Linked DNA regions of Mus musculus. The protein of the gene in region 3 purifies or fractionates together with the protein of the main gene of each other region. This does not show direct contact. Links are inferred from orthologs where the notes say so. Each region holds a gene or a part of one and is shown on either strand. Other genes may lie near its edges.

Region 1 (7,529 bases), on a different chromosome or scaffold from region 3:
TGGAAACGACTGCATATTTGACAGATTTGAATGTTATTGGAATGGGTCTGACAGTGTTGTCATGACTGGACCCTACAATAATTTCTTCAGAATGTTCGACAGGAACACAAAGCGGGATATAACTCTAGAAACATCACGAGAGAACAATAAGCCTCGAACAGTTTTGAAGCCACACAAAGTCTGTGCAAGCGGCAAGAGAAAGAAAGATGAAATAAGTGTTGACAGCCTAGACTTGAACAAGAAAATCCTTCATACAGCCTGGCATCCCAAGGAAAACGTCATTGCTGTAGTGACTACAAACAATCTGTATATATTTCAAGACAAAGTGAATTAGGCTGGCATTCTCTGCAGTGGAGCCATTTCCTGCTTAGGGAGATAGTTGAATCTAGCATTCATACCTATAAAAGAGTGGTCCATTGTGGCGCCCCTTTCCAGTGTTTGACAGTGTGCCATTCAACAACACATTTGATAGCCTCATGGAGAAAGCTGTGTGGCTGCATCCCAGGCTGTTTTCCGTGTCTGCTAGCCATTCAGGGAAGGGAGGGAAGGGCACTTTTGATTTAATGATTTCTTGCACCATCTGGCCTGGTGGACTGGAGTGGACTGTGTCAGCATCAATGTACTCCACTTTTTATGCCTTCCATTGTGACGACATCAAACACAGTGAACACTTCAGTCATGCTATGGAATTTGTGTATCCTCATTACTGTATCATTTGTGGGGTACAATCCTCCCCTCTTTTTTAAATTAAATACAGCTCATTCTTAAAAAAAAAAAAAAAGAACACTTGCTGGACTTGCAGAGGACATGGGTTCTGTTCCCATATGGCAGCTCACGAGTGCTTACAACTCCACTTCAGAGGATCCGATGCTTTTAGTACTTGAACACAGTGCACACACACTGCATGCCTAGTGCCTACAGAAGCCAGAAGAGGGCGTCGAATCCCCTTGAACTGGAGTTATAGGTTGTGAGTCTCCACATAAATGCTAGGAAATGAACCCAGTCCTCTGAAACAACAGCCAGTGCTCTTAAGCACAGAGCCAACTCTCCAGGCATTGATCTTGAGCTATACAATGGCTGATTTCAAGTCTAAACTTTCTGTTGGACCATGAATCTCCATTTCACCTTACTACCGTATTTCTTAAAATACGTAGGAATATAATCTCTTAAATTTAAGCCACTGCACTTCATTTTGCAGTGGGTATTCCCAATTTTCAACCTAAAATGTCTTTCTTCTGCCTTGTTAATGTCCAGTCCAAGCTCAAAGCCTACTTCAAACTTTCTCTGCTCCTTGGAGTGTGCATTCCTTTAAGTAGTCCAATTACACTGGTCTTTCTCTGCTCCCTCAACAGTGAGGACTACAAAGTATAACCATTCGTTGTTCCACGACTATTAAGTGTATGCTGGTTTTGTCTCACTAAATAAGATATCCCAAGAGGATCAAGAAAATGCTAAACATATAATTAATATTAAATAAAAGCAAACTTCATGGCTGATACAGTTATGTTCCAAACTGTTAAGTCAGTTTATTAGAAGCTGTGGCCACTAAAAAGCAAACCAACCTCACACAATCTTTACCCTGCCAAATTTAAAGCCTAACAGTTACTAAACAGGATGAAAGTTCTCTTTTTAGCTTCTACCAGTTTATCTACAGTAATGGCCATTTTAGAAATTAAGTGGAGCTGCAACATTCCTTAATCCCCACCTCGGAGAAGCCCTTCCAGGTCAAGGGAAAAGGAAGTGCCAGGGTTTCCTGCCTGTTACAAAAAAAGGCATGTTTCACACAAAGTGAGCCATCTGCTCAGTCTTTTTAACCAACCTGGGGAATAGTAATTGCCTACAAAAAGCCAAAAATATGACATAGAGGACAGACACAAGAATTCTGTCCTTCATTATAAGTTAAAAACTACCAGCAAGCAGGAGGAAGCAAGAAGGGCAAAATGGAAATTTTTTCCCCTCTAAGAGTATGGTTTGTTTTGCTTTTTTTGCTTTCCAAGAAAATCCTCAGGTCACCTTTTAATTTAAATATCAGTATGAATAAGCCAGTGTGCTGTTTATTATATCGAGTTACCTGAAGTGTGCCTCCCCTGACTCTGTGGCATCCTCTGGAAGAGATCATGGTTGTATTCATAATATCTGTAATCTTCTTGTGCACGATCTCCAAGTGGCCGCCTTCTCTGTCCATCAAAAAAGTTATCTGAGAAGAAGTATCGGGAGCCAGAGTCTCCATTCTCAACAGCAAAGTTAACTTCTGTCAAAAATGACTGTGATGAGCCACACTCTCGAGGGACATCTGCTAGGCTCCTGACAAGGTAAGAAGGGGCAGACAGTCTGTGGCTTTCTCTTCTCATTACTTCATGAGGTGTCCTTTGAATTGCAGTTCTCAGGAAACTCTGGTTTCTTGAAACTACACCATCTCCAGAAGCTGAGAAAGCAGTAGCACTTGAATCTGGAAGACAGAGGTCAGTCCGTCTGGGAATTGTTGGACCGTGCCGAATGAATGAAGGCATGAGATCTATAATAAAACAAATATAATCACCATTGCATTAAGTCAGTACACTCGTCTAAAGTTATTTATGTCTACTATCCTGAGATCAAAATATCAAACAAAAGGGCATAAGAAAACAGATTTTAAATTTTAAGACAATACTAGAACTTTAAATGAAGATTATTTTCCCAAGCAAATACATTTATAATCTGCATTAATATGCAGGTGTAAACTCAGCTACAAACGAATGGATGCTGCATATTGCCATACATGATACAATGTCACTAAGCTGAAAGTAACCTAACAAACCAATTCCTTTACCAGCATCATGTATGACTACAGTTTGGTGTTTTCACTTGATTTAAGTATCACCAAGAATCTTTCTTCACAAACACATCTCATTAAAATAAAATTTAAAGAAAAAACCGCAAAGTCAGATTTCCTGTAAAAGACTTTTTTATTGGTAATTTTTTTTTTTTTGTCTTTCTATCAGGAATTACCCGGTTCTAAGCACAATTATCAAAACTAGAAAGCAAGACCTTTCAGTGTGGAAACTGAAAAATAAAGTCATCTACTTCCAAAGATGCACACAAACCCTGGATCTACTGAAAAAGCCTGGAAAGAATTATGGCTCCTTTAAAAGCAGATAACCCAAACCAAGGTCATGGCTGCTGATTTGAATGTGCAAACAGCTTTCATGTTCTTAGAAAGCAACTACCTTTAAAATATGAAACCTGGATATAGAACACATTTTCTGAATTCATTAAATCAATGTCACTAAGGGTGTCAGAAGCTAACACTACAGTAACTTAATATTGGAATAATTAACTGTCGATGACACAAATTCTGTATGGAGTCACTCACTAAAAGACTCAACAAGTGGCATGACTTCAAATGATGCTTAATAAACTTTATTTGCAGCAAAAAGCAAGCTATCACCTAAAAAAAACAGAAAAACAAGCTCTTAAAAATGGTTTCAGTTACTGACACATCCACCCCACCAACTGTGTTGTCTAGCACTCCAACTACTAACAGAACCTGTAAGGCTGGACACATGGTCACAATGGAAAAATATGCTCTCCACCCCTTTCTGCGGGATCTTGGGCAAATACTAGGAACCCCTGTGAGCAGCTTTCCCAATTACAATATGAGGTAATGCTTAATTTAAGTCACACGGTTACTTCCAGTTTCCAAGAAGGAAACTTACACAAGGGGTCCAGCTCCTAGAATGAGAACCAAAGGATTAGCTCTCTGACTACCCAAGAATTTTAAAAAAGGAGAATCAAGGCGTTCAAGTTAAAAACTCAAATATTTTAAACGGAGAAGAAAAGCTACGTACGGGAGGGGACGGAACATATGTCGGAAAGAGGAATAAAGTTAGGAACTTGCCTGGTATGGCTGAAATTATTCTGAATACTTTGCTTTTTTTAATTTTAGGAGCAAAGCCTAATCCAAATACGTTAATGGCTTGTCTACTCTGGGAAATGAAAAGACTCTGGGTAGTGGCTACAAGTATCAGGTTCTTTGCCTCACAAGTCTGTGTCCCGCTGAAGGACTAAGGAATCCAGTCTCTCTCTCGTGTGTGTGTGTGTGTGTGTGTGTGTGTGTGTGTGTGTGTGTGTGTGTGTGTGTGTGTGTGTGTGTGTGTGTTACTTAGGGCGCTGGTAGTGGCTACAAGTATCAAGTCTCTCGTGTGTGTGTGTGTGTGTGTGTGTGTGTGTGTGTGTGTGTGTGTGTGTTACTTAGGACGCTGGTAGTGGCTACAAGTATCAAGTATCAGGTTCTTTGCCTCACAAGTTTGTGTCCCGCTGCAGGACTAAGGAAGGAATCCACTCTCGCGTGTGTGTGTGCGTGTGCGAGTGCGTGAGCCGACGAGTGGCGCTGCGATGGTCGCAAACGCGGGGCCCGGACGTACCCAGCAGAGAGGTGCCCGGGTCGAAGCACTTTTTCCCCAACACCACGGACAGCCATGCATTTCCCAGAGTCGGTCTTCCAGCACCACCCGAGGCTGCGCCGGGTCCCCACCCGCCACCGCCCACGACACTCACTCCGCAGCAGGGGCGACGTCTCCTTCTTCACGTACTTGCCCTGCACCTCGGCCGGCTTAGACACCTCGTTTTTGGTTTTCTTGCGGGACAGCATCCTCGCGGACGACTCCCGCCGCCGCCCCAGCAGCCTCGCTAGGGCCGCGAGCCTGCCGCCCGCCGCCGCCTCCCGGGCCGCCGCCGCCGCCTTCGCCTCGGGTCTCCGCCGCCCGCGCCCGCCCGCAGGCTCCGCCGCATGTTGGCCGCGCTAAGCGCGCCCGCCGCCGCTCAGTCGCAGGGCAGCTCCTCCCGGGAAGTCAGCCGGCTCAACGACGCCGCCCGAGGCCGCCTTGGGACAGGGCCGCGGCCGCCCACCAGGGCCATGGTCCGCCGCCCGGAGCCGCTACCGCTGCGGCCACCGCCTACGTCCGGTAAACTTTCCCCGCGCCGCTGGGAATGCTGGGAAAGCCGACGCGCACGGGCCGCCCCTCCCCCGCCGGGCGCGGACGCGGCTGCGTGCGGCGACTCGCGACGGGCGGGCGGCTAACGGGCCGGGTGTGGCGACCATCGCGGCCCTCAGTGCGGCTGCGCGGGCCGGCTCCCGCCGCTGGGGAGCTGGAGTCCGGGCGGTCCGGAGCCCGCTGGGCGGCGAGCGGCTCTCGCCTTGGACTTGCCTACCGCCCTGCTTCCCGCAACCGCAGCCGCGTGTCCTGGTTGCTGAGGGAAGGCAGCCCTCGGGTGTGCTGGGACCGCGAGGGCTACACCTAGTAACACAGATGACTCTTCTGGTGACAGCGTGACTACTGTAAAAACTGAGTCTCCGTTTCTTCTGTCCTCTTATTATCTCCCCCAACCCTTGGTAGCCCACCCCCTTTTGTGCCCCCCATCCCCATCCGCGCTTTCGGATTAAAAAAGAAGATGGAGTTTCTACAGCTCCTAAGATAAATTTGACGTTAGTGTATTTATTTCATCATTTTAATATGTATTCTTAATAACCACATGCCTTCTCTTGCAGTTAAGTCTTAGAATTTTGAAGCCTTTGAGCACCAGAGTTCAGAACTGGGAGTTTTCTATCTAATATATCAGATTCTACTTTGTTCTCTTTAACTCGCTCAGGTACACAGAATAACTTGGAGAATAAGATTGGGACTCACTCCTCTTGATCAAAGTAAGGCTTTCATAATGAAGAGAATGTGCTTAAAACACAGAAGCAAAACACCAACCTCAGAACAAGACACCAAACTGCTCTTTTTTTTAGCCATGCACAAAGACATTTAATCAGTTGTCTGTCTCCTGTGTTTTTATGAAATGTTTCCTTGTTAAAGGTCCCTATAATCCTATAACAAATATTTTATTGAGCACCCAGCATCCAAGGTGCTGTTTTAGGTGTCTGGGATATAACAACAAAGGTCCTGCGGTTATGGGGAAGAGAGATCACAAAAAATAAAACTAGTAAGCCATAGTATGTAACAGAGTGAGCGCTGAAGGAAGCATAAACAAGAGAGATCCCACAGCTTGGAAAGGGGGTCGGATAATGAAGCCAGTGAGAAGGCAATGCTGGAATTAGCTTGCTATGGTGCTATCTGGAGTGAGGCCTCAGAAGAGCAAATGCAAGTCACTGCAAGTGGTCGTGTTTCTGGCTCATTGTAGGAATAGGAAGAGGGTCACGTAGCTGGAACTGGAACAGAGAAGAGTAGAGGGAAATGAAGTTCCTTGGTAACTGGCCACCCACCTAGGCCTTTGGAGTAGAGGAGAGACGTATTTAATGCGATCACTTTGGATGCTGTGTGAGAGTAGACTGAATGGGGGAGTGGGGTTTCAAAATAAGGGAGGTGATAAAAAAATATTGCTAGCATGCATATGGATAAAGGCAGCAGGACAAGCGCTAAGTGATTGTAGGCATTTTAGAGTTGCAGCAGGGTTTGCTGACAGATTGATTATGGCATAAGAGTAAAAAAAAAAAAAGCTAGAGAAAGGACCCAAGGAGCTGAAGGGGTTTGCAGCCCATAGCAACAATATGAACTAACCAGTACTCTCAGAGCTCCCAGGGACTAAATCACCAACCAAAGATTACTCATGGTGGGACTCATAGCTCCAGCTGCATATGTAGCAGAGGATGGCCTAGTCGGTCATCAATGGGAGGAGAGGCCCTTGGTCCTGTGAAGTTTCTATGCCCCAGTGTAGGGGAATGCCAGGACCAGGAAGCGGGTGTGGGTGGGTTGGTGAGCAGGGGGAGAGAGGAGGGGAGAGGGAGTTTTTGGAAGGCAAACCGGGAAAGGGGATAACATTTGAAATGTAAATATCTAATAAAAAGAAAAAGAGAACAAAGGGTTGCTCCTTGTGTAAACCTTCATTACCCAAACGCAGTTCATAGAGCACGTTGTCTGAGGAGAGGAAGCGCACTCAAGTATTGCTGTGGTTCAGATACAAATGCTAGCTCTAAAGAGTCGGTAGTGCAGATAGAGAACACGCAAGGGTGAAAGAGAAAAGACAATGGGGTTTTCCGTGAAGAATTTGAGGAAGGGAGGTAAAGGAGAAAGAAGTTGCCCTAAAATTCCCAAGGCTGACCTCAGAGGACAGGAAGTGAGGTTGCTGGGATCTTGTTAAGATAGTTCCTTAGACCTGGGCTTTCCAGAGAATGGAGTGAAGTATGCTTTCCACATTCATGAGAGGAAAAGTCATAGGATTTTGTAGCTGGATGGGAGTTCTGAAATCAACTATGTTAAACTCATGAAAAAAACATTACATGTTGTCTTAGATCACCTTCCTGTTTGGTGGCAGAACGACACTAGTCACCTTTCTCATGATTGTGACCATCGTCTGACAAAACGATGTAAAGGAGAAAACCTGGTTTAGAGTTACGAGTTTTAAAGGTTTAGACCATGGTCACCTGGCTTCCTGTTTCTGGGCCAGACGGGGAGGGTCTTCATCATCACGTGAGTTACTGGAAGCAGAGGACCAGGAAGGCATCGTGGACAGGACAGGTTACTTCTGAGAATCTGCCCCCCGCCCCCGGG
Region 2 (6,767 bases), on a different chromosome or scaffold from region 3:
TACATTCAAGTCACTTCCTAAGGCAAAATGTCTCCCATGTGTACTCCCACCTGCTTTGGTATTTGCTTCAGTTAACCGGGGTGGACTTGGGTGTTGCTGCATGCAGCTTGACTTGGTGTGGACTTGGGTAGACAAATGCTGGGAGCATGCCTTAGATCAACCTACTCACGTGTTCGAAAAGTCTGAGAGTTCTGAATGGGGCGCAAACCACTCACTCATCCAGTCTACACTTGCTACATTATGCCGTGTGCAGCCTTTATAATAGCAAAGGCATTGAATTAAGGCGTGAAAAAGCTCATGCCCTCGTAACAGGCTTCATTCTTTTTGTTCTTTAGAAACACGCTTTAGGAGAATAAGACTCTTTCTGATGACTCTGATGAAAATGGGAAACTCCACCTGTGTAGACCACAGAATAGCTGTGGTCTGAGAAAATGCAGACCTGGTTGCTGGTGTCTTCTCTATACCCCATCTTGCCCACTCTCTCTCCCTGGGCATCTCATCAGAACTCTCTACCTTTGTCTCTTGCATTCTTTTTCTTTCTGATTCTTCCCCTCTCACTCTCTCTCTCTCTCCTGCAGTCTCTTTGTCCCTCTCTCCCGCCTCTCTCCCTCCCCTCCCGCTGACTCTCTTTCCCTCTCTTTCTCTCTCTATGATAAATGCCAATACCTAGCAGAAGTCAGTTGGGTGCGTGAGTGCATGGCTTCCGAATGTTCAGCAGAGATGAACGGGGGTAGGCAATTTTGCAGTAACTCGAAATCTATTGTGGGAATATGGTTACTTCCCTTAGCAGTCAGCAAAAATTGAGAACTATCAGTGACTTGCATCACCATGACATAGTATAGCATCTGGCAGGTAATAACTGTTCAGTGACTTAATTGGATGAATGGACGTTTTAGAAAAGGTAGTTTCAAATTCAAGAATTTCTGGAAACACAGTTCAAATCCTGTGGTGTGGCCGGCTGCGGTCTCTACAGTTCTATCTTGCATGCGGGGAAGGACTCGTCTTGCATGACCACTGTACTGCTGCTTGCTAAGACCATGATGTTGAGGTCCTGCTGCTTCTCGTGGGTCTCCTGGTACCACTCCCTCATCACCTCGGAGTCATGTGTCGGAATCAGAGTCACCTACGGAGGGGGAGAAAAGGAGATATTTAAAGGACAGCAGGGATAGATGCCAGAGTAAAAACAGAACAAGGTGTCTGTTGGATCACTAGCAGAAAGGGATAAAAGGAAAAAAAATGCCGTTTTACCAGAAAAATACCAATGAAGTTTTCAACTGATGTTTTCCAAGAACCACAACCAAGCTGTAAAAATTAGAAGGTTTTTTTTTTTAATTTAAAAAAAATTTTTTGGGATGTCATTGAAGGGAAGAGTTCAAGCCTAGAATCTAAATTACCTAGGAACTTGCATGTAAATTTCAGATGGCTTTTTAACGAAGTGGTGTTGAGAACTGTTTGTTTCTCGTGTTTCCATTAACATGGGGCAGATGTTGTACAGCCTATATATTCCACACTTAGTGCACGAAGTTTAATATTGTAGCTCAAACCCCCAGAAGCCCACACATTGGCCTGAAAACAGAGTCTGTGCTGTAGGAGGGGAGTACCGACTTTGGTACTTCTCATGTGAACACTGTGGAATTCTTTGGAAGCAACCTTATGGAAGATGTGAGCACAAGTTGCTAGGTGATGATTTGCAGTCCCACAAATCAGATAACCAGTGATCAGAGCCCAATAGGAACATGGAGACTGGATGGTTCATAGCCAGCCCGGAGGGGCTGGAGCAGAATATATCCGGAGAGGAGAGGCAATGACACCAGTCTGGAATTTCACCTGGAGACTTGATCCCACGTATCTTGGCCAGTGACCATGTTCCTAGCTTTAGTCTACTAGTGAGTAAGATAATTCCTTAGCAGCAATTCCACAGGCTCAGGACAACTTTGATTCACACATACAATACTCAGAATTGGGGGGAGAGAGGCAGGGTTGGGACAGCAATTCATTTCAGGTCATTTTACCGATGTGTGGACTCTGTCTTAGGTAAGGCGGTGCTCCTCCACTGCTACTGATAGTGACCCTGTCAAGGAGGCCACCTTAGGCTATCTTCTGTAAGCTAAACTGACCTGTTATTTGAACTACAAGTTCCTAGCTGATTTAGATTCTAGGCTACAACTCCTCCCCTCGATGAAAAAAGAATTAATTTTTACAGCTTGGTTGTGGTTCCTGGAAAACATCAGTTGAAAACTTCATTGGCATATTTCACATGCAACAGTCAGGAGGCACTACATGTGGATCCACAGGGACAAAGACGCCTATTTCAATGTTTCCTTCTCTTTACTTCTATAATGAGTTCAAATGCACCTCAGACATGGCCCCATGCTCTTACCTGCATGTTGCTTCCCCACTGAGCCTTCCCTTCCAACAAGGCATCCAGGACAGCCCGGCTGGGCTCCTCCGCGGCAGGGTCGTTCCCACTCACCACGTAGTAAGATGACCTCACTCTCTTGAAGAACTCAACATCGACATTCTTACTGTTGCTGTGGTTGGGAATATAGCACAGGTCCAAATACACAGGGAGGCCTGGAGGCACGGTGGACGACTTGGCTGTCTTAGTGGTTCCTGGTCCTTTGGGAACAAACACAAAGCAAGGGTCATAGCAGTGTGAAGACACAGACACATCCACGGATCCCCAGCTGCAGTCTCTGGGACATGAAAGGGATGGTAGGAGTCCCAGTTCCCTGGCTCCTCATGTAGGGCCTCCAACATTAGGAGAAATTATACCGTGCTTCTTTACCAGCTCAATAGGAGAAACTGAAAAAGACTTGGCTTCCCTTTGCAGACAACCCCTTAGGAAGAAAAGAAAAAAGAGTTTCTTCGATTTGTTTTTTTTTAAAGGCATTAGTGCCAGGTAGTGGTGATGCATGCCTTTAATCCCTGCACTCGAGAAGCAGAGTCATATGGATCTCTAGGAGTTTGAGGACAGGCTGGTCTATGAAGTGAGTTCCAGGACAGCCGGGGGCTGTTATATAAAGAAACCCTGTCTCGAGAAAGCCAATATATATATATGTAGGAATTAGATAAGAGTACTCTCCATCCAAAGGGTCTACTTGTACTAATGTGTATTTTAGTTTGAAAAGCTCTATAAGACAGAGGCTTAACTTATGGATCCTGATGCCATACGGAATTGAAAAACTAAACATGAATGGACAAATATGTTTTTCAACAGTAAGAAATTTCTGATCACCCATTGAACTTAATTTAAAATCAGATGTAATGATGCATGGGGTTTCCGGTCATGTGTGCAGCATGGCACACACAGCTTCACGGTAGCCCTGGTTCTGGTCCCACAGTGTGCTCGCTGTCTTACTCTGCAATACAATGGGTGGTGTCTGAAACACACTGCTCTTGTAGAAACAGAAGAGTTGAATTATGGAAACAAAGGCTTCTCATAGTTTTCTACCATTGCATCAGCACCTAAGTATCAAACTAGTGTATCTTTAGATTGGTTCATGCTACAATGATTTAAAAATAAAACACTGCTATTTGAGTTAACGTCTTGAGCTTCAGGGGAAAAATGTTTAAGAAATTTGGGGTTGGAGCTTGGAAATAATTGCCAATAATTTCTGAAATGGCAAGAACCTACCTCACAAAAACAAAAGAAAAGTCTCAAGTCATCACTAAGGAATGGAGATTGCTGGCTATCAGTGGCGAATGGGGAGCCAGCAGGCATTTCTACTTAGCTCCTGCTGAGTGGAATTCCGGGCCTGAGAAATCACTGTGCTAGCAAGGCCGTGGGTAGAAAGGAGAAACAACTTTAACGGTTTCCTCTTTTTCTACTCGATATTTATTGGTCAACTGGAATCAAATTGTTTACTAGCAGGTAAGAAAACACGGCAGATGTTTCAATGGGCACATATATTGCCTACATGTTAGGATTTTTTCCCCAAAGGTGTACATTTTTATAATTTTACATTTTAAATTTTACAGAAGAAATAAATATCGGGCTTAGACAAAATTCCAGGTTTGCCAGGGAAACCTTTGGTCTGCCATACGCCTTTGGGAGTTCCTGATCTGTCACCCTGATGTGATTTTTAAGGTCAGCCTGCCTGAAGCCTCCCTGAGCAGCCCGAGACACACATCCTTAATTCTGAAGGTTTGCAACAGGCCTACAGCTGCTGTCCAGAATGACATCAGCCCAGAAATCCCACCAGACGGATCCCACCACACTTTGCTCTCTCTAAGCCACACTGGGCCAGGAGGTGAACCTTTAAGCAGAAGAGGAAGGTGGACGAAAGGTAGAGCATCAGTCCACCATTTCTGGTCTTCCCAGCAAAAGGACAGACAGAGAAGCGGGCAGGCTTTCAAGTGACCCCACCTACCTGCCGTTGCGGTCTTCGCTGATTTGGATGCAGAGGCGTTAGCTGCGTTCTTGGTCTCCTTGTCCTTCTCTTCTCCGCGTGTGGCTTTGACCTCAGGAGTGGTGGTGGTCTTTGTAGCTTTTTCCACGGATTCTTTCTTCTTGGGAGAAGCCACTCTGGACACCTTGTCGGAGGATTCCTTCAAAGCTCCTGGTTTGGGGGAAGCTGCTAAAGGCTTGGACTTCCCATCACCCTTTTTGACAGGTGAAGAGGACTTGGTCTTTGTGCCTGGCTTCTTGGTCTTGGTCTTCTCCTTCAGGTCTTTTTTCAGAGCCTTGCCTAGGTTCTGATCAACGGCCAAGGCGTCTGGGTCCACCATGGACACGTCGGGGTGGCGAGGAGAAGGGCTTCGGTCTTGCATGGGGGCTGGAGGTGGGTCCATGTGTTTGTATGTGACGGTTTTGTCTGTGGGGATAGTTTCTGACTCATCTTCAGAGTCAATATTGGCGTCGGCTGTGATGGAGGGGCACTCTTCCGTCTCTGGGGGAACATCAGAGTCTGTCTGGGATGGGGCTGACTCACTGACTGAGGTGGGTGGCGTTTCATCGCATTGCCTGCCCTGTTGTTTTCCTCCTGAAGGTGGGGGGGCTCCTCCAGACTGAGTGAGGGGCTTCTCTGATTCTTCAGTGGGCTCTTCACCAGCAAACCACTCAAGAGGATTTGGATTAATGAAGGAAGGCGAGAGCTCCGTCTTGGGATGCTTGAATTCACAGGAGGACACCAGACATAAATCAACATCCTGGCGTGCCTCTGAGGGGGACTTCTTTTCCGTAGTGTAGCATCGGTCTGAGGTCTCATAGGAGTATGTGGATGCCTGTGGGGTCTTGGTGATCTTCTCCATGGTCTCGTAACAGTATGCAGAGGTGTCTGGACTCCGTGTTGTTTTTGTACTTGTCTCGTAGGAATAGCTTTCAGACTCAGGAAAGCTGGTAATTTTCTCAGTGGTTTCATAGGAGTAGCTACAGTCGCCAAGTGTGTGGCCGCCATCCTCAGTGTCATCATAGCCATTGCTAATGTCATCCAGGAGCCTTCTGGACCTCTCAGTCTTTTCATAGGTGTAGCCGCTTACTTCAGGGGTCCGTGTCGTCTTCTCGCTGATCTCATATGAATAGCCACCCTCTTCTGGGGTCCGAGTGGTTTTCTCGGTAATTTCACAGGTGTAGCCACCATCTTCTGGGGTCTTGATGGTCTTCTCAATGGTCTCATAGGAGTACCCACTGTCACATGGGGATTTTATGGTTCTCTCTGTCTTCTCATAGTAGTAACCACCCACGTCGTGGGTCCGGATGGTTTTCTCTTGAGATTCATAGTCATAATCTTCTTCATCTGGAGATCCGGCGGCATTCTCAGGCTTTTGATAGGCATAGTTAAAGTCTCCGGGTGTCTTCCCTCCGCTGTCTTTCTCCACACTAGATGTAGTCAAATCTCTATTCAAGGCCAGATGATGTTGCATTGTATCAAATAGCATTGAGGAGCGGAAGCCATAGGGCTCTGCTGTTGCTGCATCTATTGGTGGGGAAGAGGAGGCTTGGTGAGCTGCTGCAGTCTCTTTAGCTGCAGAGGTAGAATCTGAAAAGCCAGGTGAATATAAAGGTGAGGACTCTCGTGGGGTGAGTGGAGAAATATCAGATTTCGGAGAGAGCTTCTCTCCTTCCAGGCTCTGCACTTTTTCAGACGCAAGTGAGGCATATAAGGACATCTCTCTGGGAGGAACAACATCAGAGAGAGTGTCTTCCTGAAGAGGAGAGGCTATCTGAGAAGGGGTGTGAGCTGAAGAGGTGGACGGGGAAGCCTCTACCTGAGACACAGAGATGAGCTCAGACAGATCATTATCCTGGGTGTAGGATGGCTCTTCCGTTGGCGGGATCTTATGCGACAAACTAGAGTCCTGGATATCAGAGGGACTATAGTCCACTTCAGTTGGCCCGTTTTCAGTGATATGAAGCACACTGGCACCCAGAGTAGGGTGATCTGGAGACTGCCGACTAAAGTCCATAGCAAGAGAATGCTCAGGGGATTCCTGGCCGAACTCAATAGACATAGAAGACTGTTCAGATCGGTGATCTTGAACTGGTGTCCTGGATTTGGCTGTCTTGGGGGAGAAGTCTGGAGGAGAAATTGACATCGGTCTTGGGCACTCTTCTTTAGATGGAGACATTTCTGTTTCCTGGAACGTGGTAGGTGTTTGCACCACAGAAACGGACAGGGAGTCATCAACTTCTGTGGAATGTGGAGAACCCACCTCGGCATGCAGAGAAGGAGACACGTCATCTGTGGTTGGCTCTGGAAACGAACTTGTAGCCACAGAGGCAGTAGAGACGGAGGCCACACCCTCCATGTGGGAGTAGGTGTCTT
Region 3 (7,403 bases):
TGTTGGTTTCAGAAAGGCCCTAAATTGGAATGCAATTGGAACAAACACAGCTGGGATCACCGCTAGGCAGTGCCTGGTCCCAGGAGAATTCTAGGAGGGTCTGGGTTGGGGATTGAACCTGCAGCCCAGCCCCAGCCCTCAGGCTTTTACTCTGCTCTTTGGGACTTCTTAGCTTCCTTTTCTTCTTTCTTATTTTTTGGTTCCTTAATGGTTGGAAGTCAGGCCATCCATCACACATATAATGCTAAGCACTCTACAGCTAAGTCAGCTATAAACTTCAGCTGCTTTTAAACAATTCTTCTCTTTGTATGCCTTTCAACTGGCCAGTATCTTATATTTTCCCCCACCTCTCCATAATAGAAGATGACTCAGGTTGAGTGGTATGGAGACAATCCCAGAGACACCCTCCCGCCCCCACTCCCACCCCACATTGAGTCTAAAGTCTGGACTAAGGTTTTGGAGGTGTCAAGTAGCAGTCCACCTGTAGGAAATTTATATCAAATCTCACCTACAGCATCACAGACAATTCCACTTTCTTGGCTCAAATAAGGAGTTCTAGTTCAGTGCTACTAAGTTTTCTAACCTCAGTCTCCGTCCTCACTTTCCTGATTCGCTGGCCTCTGTGCTGTTCCGAGGGATTCCCGCTCCAGAACAAGTTATCCGAGCTTGGTGGCCACAACTATGATATTCCCAGAAAGTCGGATAATTTGGGCACATCTAGACTTTTTAAAGAGGTTCAGCTGCCCTGGTACCACACTTTTTTTTTTTTAATAGTCTTTTAAGGCCCTCTTCCTGAATTCCCCAAATCCCTCTGCACAGTTCCACCATGGAGGAAAGAAAGATCGAGTCCAGCAGCTGGTGTCAAAGAGTTGGTCGAGCAACGGCTGGGCACTTTGCTGGCTGATCCAAGACCGCATCACGGCACGGCCAGAGTCCCCTCCCAAACTAACTTCTCACTTCCCGGTGGACTCCTCCTCCACTTCCTCATTTCCCCCAGGGAGGGAGTGGGAGCGCCCAAATGCGAAATCAAGACGCCGGTTTGGATTGCGAGTCTGGCTTTAGTCATGGGTGAAAAACGCCCGCCTGTGGTCCACCCTTCAAGCTTCAGAGTTGCTTCCCCCTGGCTCAACCGGTCTGTGACTGCAAGGGCAGGGTAGCCTGGGTCCTCAGTACCATCGCGCTGGAACTGGGCTTCTACTCGGGACAGAGAACCCTACGTACGCTTCCTCGCTTTTGTCAGGACCCTCCGAGTGGCTCGCTATGGAGAGGCGGGGAGGCTGCCCATCACCTAACTTTCCAGGCCGCAACTTACCGGGGAGGGGCGGGGTTCCAGCGACCGCCCCTCACCCGCCGGCGGCACCCCCCGGGCTCCCCACCTGGTCCCGACGCGGCCTGCGGACCAGCGAGGTACGCGCCGTGAAGTACTGCTCGAGCTCCGAGTCCGAGTCCTCCTGGCTGCAGTAGCCACTGCTGGTTGTGCTGCTCCAGGTCATTTCGAAGGAAGGTGTTTCAGCCTCGCCCATCGCCTTACCCGCCCGATCCCTAGTCCACTGCGTGGAGAGCCTCTAACCACCGCCTCGGGCGCGTGCGTGCGTGCGTGCGTGTGAGTGTGTCAGGTCGCGCTTGCGCGGAGGCCAGCGCCGCGCGGCAACCGTTAGGACTGAAACGTAGACAGCCCGACTTTAGCTCTGGTGTCGAGGGGGGTGAGGGGGTGAAGACGTCGAGGGGCGGGGCCACGACGCTACAGCTCGACGGATGACCTCATCGCAGAGGCATCTCCACTCGGCTCCGCCTCTCAGGTCCCGCCTCCCAGCGGGCCGGGGCGTGTGCGCATGTGCACCGCCGCTGCCCTTAGGGCCGGAAGCGGGGTGTGAGAGGTGCGCGTGCTCCCAGCCAGGGAGCGCCTTCGCCTGACAAACCCAGCGAAACTAGCATCTCTGATGCCGGGAAATTGATCACTGGGGTGTTCATTATGCACGGCGTAGGGATTAACCCTGCACACCTCCGCCGAGTCTCGGCTTCCCTCCCGGCCCGCCCTCCCCCGACCCCGCGCTCACCACGTTCGTATCCCGCTCTAGTGCAGAGTCCCAGCCCAGGTCTCGGGGCCCGCAGCAGTCCAAGCAGACGAGCGCGCGACAACGGTAATGGCAGGTGAACTTGCAGTCTGCAGAAAGGGCTGGCCGTGAGGCGGGGGAGCTCGGCGAAGTGACCCACTGAATGAGGGAGCCTCTGTTAACAGGTTTTGGGGCTCACTGGCCTTTTCTCCAGCCGGTTACCGCCCACTGCTACACCGATCCCAGAGGCCTCGGTTAGGCACCTCTGGACACTTGCTGGGAGGCCTCAGGCGGTTAGGGATCCAAGCATGCTTAACACTTGTGCCGAGCTATTACTTAGCTTTGCCATTAACTTGAAAACAAAGGCATTTAATTTACGACTTCCTGTATTTGTCCTCTGCCCCTGTTGTTGGGTTTCAGACGAGCGGCAGAGGTGCATATGTAACGCATCAAAGCAGACCTGGCCTCCAGATTCCCCGAGCATCCCTTAGCCCACACCTCTTGCAGGATATAGCTGGCATACCAGAACTGGGCTTCCCCTCCCCCAAAGGCTCTTACCTATATAATCCAGACATTTTGTCCTCGTTCCCCTCCTCTGTCTCTTTTTCTGTCTCTGCATTTCTTTCTCCTTGCGTACACATCCTCCCTCTTACCCTGTCTGCATGGCGACTTCCCTAGCCTCCTTCCTTGGGATCGGTGAACCTGCCGCCCCCAATAAACCTCCTTTCATACTCTCAATTCCGCTTGAATTGGCTTACTTCTTCGGCCGAAAAAAACCTATTAGTCTCCACTTGTTTACACAAGTCTATTTTGGTTTTTGAGAAAGAATCTCATAGAGTTCAGGTTAGCCCCAAATGGTAACCTTGAACTTGGTGATCCTCCTGCCTCCAACAGCTCCAGTGTTAGGATTATTGTCCACGAGCCACAATGTCCAGTGGACATGTCTAACGTTTTGACTTCTGTACCCATTATCTGGATTGTTAAATCCTTCAGTTCCTGCTTGCTCCTCCTGACTCCCAGGGGCAGCACCCACTGGCCAGGCTTCCTTCTCACTCCTCTGCCGCTCTTGCCAGCAGCCTCTCCTTAGTTCTATAAAGGCCCAGGTCTCATAGTTGATGTCCAGGTTTCTCACCTGGGTACTGTCCCAGCTCTGACTACACTCACCTGATCCAGATCCCAGGCAGCACTGATCGGCCTCTTCAGACCAAATCCTATGTGCAGTGCCTTCACATTAATGTCTAATGAAGATTTCTAATGAATATGGCCAAAATGTCATTTTTTTCCCCACTTCACTCCACCCCAGGGTTCCTATCTCAACAAGTTATCACTGTAAGCCCAATCTGAAGCAAACCCTCCATTTGCCTTTGGTTTCTTCCTTATCTCCCAAACTGTCTTGCTTCCTAGACAAGAACCCCAGAGCAGCTTTCTTTCTCCTTGTGAATGCTGAGATGCCGCAGCTCTTGCTCTCATGTGGCATTCTGTCACAAACTGCTACACTAGCTGAGTTTGTGACATACTTGTATAGTGAATGAGATGATCTGGAGGCACACACAGGCCTACAGTGCCATTTTTAAGTTCCTATATGGCCCAAAGCACCGATTCTCAACTCAAAACTATACATCAGAACTTGGGAGGCAGGGGCAGGTGGGTTGCTTGTCACAGCCTGGTCTGCATAGAGAGTTCTAGGCAAGCCAGGGCTGCAGAGTGAAACCCTGTCTTAAAACACAACAAAACAACCAAAAAACCAAACCAAAACAGAAAAACCAGGATGCCTAAGGTCCACTTTCAACAACGGAGTCAACAAGTCTGAGAGGAGAAGTAGGCGCGAGGAGACTGGAAGGTATATATTGTCCTGCGTGGTTCTGTTTGCTGGTAATTCCTAGGTCAGAAGGACCACTCATTGTGTGTGTGGCTGGACTCCATGTTTTAGCCTCTGCATCCTTGACTCAAAACAACCTTGACTGAAGTTTCAATAGAATTCCTACTAACAAGGAGCCTAACTAAGGTTCTAACTTTTTCTGGCCCCCTATTAATGTGGGAGACGTCACCCAGGAATCTAGAGGGGGAACACAGTGAGCCAATCGTTGGGAAGAGGCGGGCCTCGGAATGTAGGCTCAGAGCTCAGCAGGCACAAAGGCTTTTCAAGAAAGGGCACAAGCACTTTAAAGACAAACTTGAAGCACCTTCTTATTCACAGACAACTAACTCTGCCCAACTGTGCACGGACAGAGCGTGACAAGTGATAAACCATTTTCTCAAGCACTCTCCCTGATGGAGCAAGGCCAGGAGATCTGGTCTGCAGGATCATCACAACTGACCAGCCCTCCACTGCCGCTTGACCCGCAACTATGGTGCTGCCTCCCTTTCCGTAGTCGCTGGCTGTGTGGGGCCGCTTACTCACGCGCGCACTGTAGGCCCTTGCGCACGACGCCCCAGATGAAGTCTCCACAGAGGTCGCACCACGTGTGCGTGGTGGGCCCTGCAGGCTGGAAACGGTGGCCACGACCCGGGACGTGCTGCTGTGACGGATTGCGTGTTGTACCCGGGGCGATGCGCAGAGCGTTGGCACGCTCCAGCCGGGTACGGCCTGGACCGATGCGCCCGGACGGTGCCAGCTCGCGTAGTTCAATGAGTTCTGGCTCCGCCGACATGGCCCGGTCAGGCCGGTGCTGTAGCGGACTAGCAGCTAGTGAGTACCGAGCGGGCGAGGCCGCAGGGCGGGCCGCGACTTCGGCACCGCCCCCAGGATCCAGGCAGGGCGGCGGGAAAGAGCCGAGGAGGACGCGCTGGAACCCTAGGCGAGCCGACCGTGTGGACTTGTGGGCGGGGCACGGCACAGGGGTGGGCCCTTTCAAAGAGCCCCTTCCCAATCTTTCCGTCCAGTCTTCTCCCCCGACCCCAAGGATGACTGTACAGCGCCACACTGTTGCGTTTCATGAGTCTGCTTTATTGTGCGAAAGGAAGAGGGTCTCCACATCCGGCCCTTGCTTACACCCCCCAACCCTGTCTGCCAGTTTGCTGATGCTGTGGCCTGGTCCTCTGCGTATTCGCTGGGTGGGGCAGGAAGTGAAGAGTGTGGTGGTTTGCAGCTCTACTTGACTCAGCTGTGCTCACCAGGGAAATTGAGGTCTGACAGGGGCGAGCCACGAGTCCCTGAAGCTCAGTCACAGTCTGGGTGCGCTCTTCTGTCGGCCCTCGGCAGCTACGGCCTTCACTTGGCTCTGTCACCTTGGGCTGCTAGAACACATGTCTTTCCGTGCTTCTCCCAGTGCTTGACTTGACACTCCCTGCAGCGGGGTGGGTTGCATGACAATGACAGGGCTTGTAGGAGAACCCAGGGTTGGAGCTTAGGGGGGCAACTAAGGTCCCAGGATCGCCTCACCTGCAGCAATACCACACATTCTGGCATCTGGAGCAGCGCTTGGAGGCCTCTGCGTTGCAGTAGCCGCAGCGGGGCCTCTCCGGAGCTACTGCCTCTAGGACATCCAGCCTGTAGGTTTCAGCCCACCTGGGGGAGGAGTCGAGAAGAGCTGAATGGACGGACCGGGCAGGTAGGTGCACAGAAGCACTAGGTGACCTTCCCTCCTTGGTCCTATGCACGTGACTTCAGCCACTCAGTGGACTTTACCTCTGTGCTTGTTGACGAAGATCCTTCTCCGAGAGGCTGAATACGTGCTGAAGCTGGTGCTTGGCGATAGCCTGCCATTTCCCTTTGTTCTCTCTCTCCAGGCGATCCCAGATTTCTGGGATCTAAAAAAGTGTAATGGAGACAGGGAGGAAGGAGCCGGAAAAGTGGACCACCGTCCCAAGCACTCCCAAGCATGTTCTAGGGCCTTACCTGTTCTAACACTAGGTCCTTCTTAGGGGGCTGGGTTTCAGCCAGGGACAGGTGGGCCAGGAAACCCTTCAGATCGGCAAGATTGGGCAACTGGTCGAGTAGTGTGTCAGTGAGGAAGGCCTGAAGCTGCAAGAGATCCAGGGAAGGCCATTGAGAAACTAACTGTTCCTAGCCAGAGGGCCAAGAGACAGGAAGTCCTGAAATTGGGCTGAGCGTCCTTGGAGGGTTTGCATCTTACCAGCTCCCCTGTCGATGCCTGAAGCCCAAGTTGTGGAAAGGGGACAGGGACAGGCCAGGATGCCCTGGGGGGTGGGTCTGGGCAGGGGGGCAGTGGGGCTGGGCGGGGTCATTGAGTTCTCCACCTTAAGCAGCTGTCCCTTGGCAAAGCTTGTAAGGCAGTAACGGGCTCGGGCCTCAGGGCTGAGCAGTAGATTGTACAGGGCGATCCATACTTGCCCATCCAGTTTATTCAGCTTTTGCTGCTCTGAGGGGGCCACCGTCTGCCATCGGCCACTCTCAAAATGCTGCAGCTTGCCTGGGGGAGGAGAAGGAGCCCACCGGATGCCGGTGGGTGTTGTGTTATCTTTGAGAGTGTGTGGTCCGGAGGACTGTCCACCACTGCCTGGCAAGGTTAGAAAGCCTGGGCCACCAGACGTCAGAACAAGGTGGAGTCTTCAACAAATGGTTCACAGGACTTGTCTGCCTCAGAGTCAAACTCTAGTCCCATCTCGGGTGAGGTATCCCAGAATCCTAAATGTGTACCCTGTACCCTTCACACTGATCCTGAAGGGTGTTCTGGAAGCAGCCAGTTACATCTTAGGCAAATGGGAGGGGGAGCCTTACCTCCTACCCGCCGGCTCCAGGGACTGTGCTCCAGCAGTTCCACCAAGAGGCAGGGCAAGTTGTGAGTCCTGAGCATGCGGTTCAGTGTGCTCAGGGAAAGGCTAGAGGTAGGGTAGAAGGGTGGTCAGCAGAGGCCACGGGCCAGGACACACAGCCCCTTGTTGTGTGCTCGCCCCCGGGCCTTGGAGGGTGGCCCACCTATCCACGCAGTCTGTGATGTAGCGAAGCACCGAGAGGGCTTTCAGGGATATCTCAAATTCCATCATCTCCGCCTGCTTTTGCAGCTCCTGATGGTGCGGGAGAGGGGGGTAGGGGCACAGGCACATAGCATTCACCCTGCCTGTGGAGGCTGGAGAGAACTCACATCGAGATTTTGTTAAGTCCAGGAAACCGTAGCTTACTTGCATAGGGGTACTGTCCTGGAACTGTTCTTCTTCAGACAGGTCACCACCGCCTTTCCGGGCCACTAGCAGTATCAGCTTGCGGTGGCAATAGTCTACTAGGTCCAAGACCTTGTCATCAGCTGACTCACACACCTCCTGGGGGGGTTCAGGGAGGGGATATTTCTGGGGTTCGATGCCCTCCCCGGCCGACATAGCCCACCAGGCTCAGGCCTGCAGAGTAGTGTCTCACCTTGTGGAAGAACACTGTCTCTAGGAGATTGATGA

What was found.
Region 1: the proteins of Rassf1 (region 3) and Sav1 purify together in Homo sapiens (affinity purification with western blotting; 3 studies listed by BioGRID, with this or other methods). This does not show direct contact. The link is inferred for Mus musculus from reciprocal best matches to the Homo sapiens genes RASSF1 and SAV1.
Region 2: the proteins of Rassf1 (region 3) and Map1b purify together in Homo sapiens (affinity purification with mass spectrometry; 3 studies listed by BioGRID and IntAct, counting the BioPlex papers as one, with this or other methods). This does not show direct contact. The link is inferred for Mus musculus from reciprocal best matches to the Homo sapiens genes RASSF1 and MAP1B.

Annotation. Positions count from the first base shown.
Region 1 is NC_000078.6:69,982,138-69,989,666, forward strand, and holds the start of Sav1 (protein salvador homolog 1), read right to left. Parts: upstream 4,866-7,529; 5' UTR 4,631-4,865; coding exon 4,537-4,630; intron 2,516-4,536; coding exon 2,072-2,515; intron 1-2,071. UniProt on the Homo sapiens protein: Regulator of STK3/MST2 and STK4/MST1 in the Hippo signaling pathway which plays a pivotal role in organ size control and tumor suppression by restricting proliferation and promoting apoptosis.
Region 2 is NC_000079.6:99,424,839-99,431,605, forward strand, and holds part of Map1b (microtubule-associated protein 1B), read right to left. Parts: coding exon 4,374-6,767; intron 2,620-4,373; coding exon 2,381-2,619; intron 1,124-2,380; coding exon 968-1,123; 3' UTR 1-967. UniProt on the Homo sapiens protein: Facilitates tyrosination of alpha-tubulin in neuronal microtubules. Phosphorylated MAP1B is required for proper microtubule dynamics and plays a role in the cytoskeletal changes that accompany neuronal differentiation and neurite extension.
Region 3 is NC_000075.6:107,548,899-107,556,301, reverse strand, and holds the start of Rassf1 (ras association domain-containing protein 1), read right to left. Parts: upstream 4,748-7,403; 5' UTR 4,706-4,747; coding exon 4,456-4,705; intron 2,165-4,455; coding exon 2,058-2,164; intron 1,720-2,057; exon of another isoform or gene 1,524-1,719; coding exon of another isoform or gene 1,377-1,523; intron 1-1,376. Other genes in the region: Zmynd10 (zinc finger MYND domain-containing protein 10), read right to left, coding at 5,266-5,341, 5,437-5,562, 5,683-5,804, 5,893-6,018, 6,255-6,427, 6,736-6,836, 6,934-7,274, 7,369-7,403. UniProt on the Homo sapiens protein: Potential tumor suppressor. Required for death receptor-dependent apoptosis. Mediates activation of STK3/MST2 and STK4/MST1 during Fas-induced apoptosis by preventing their dephosphorylation.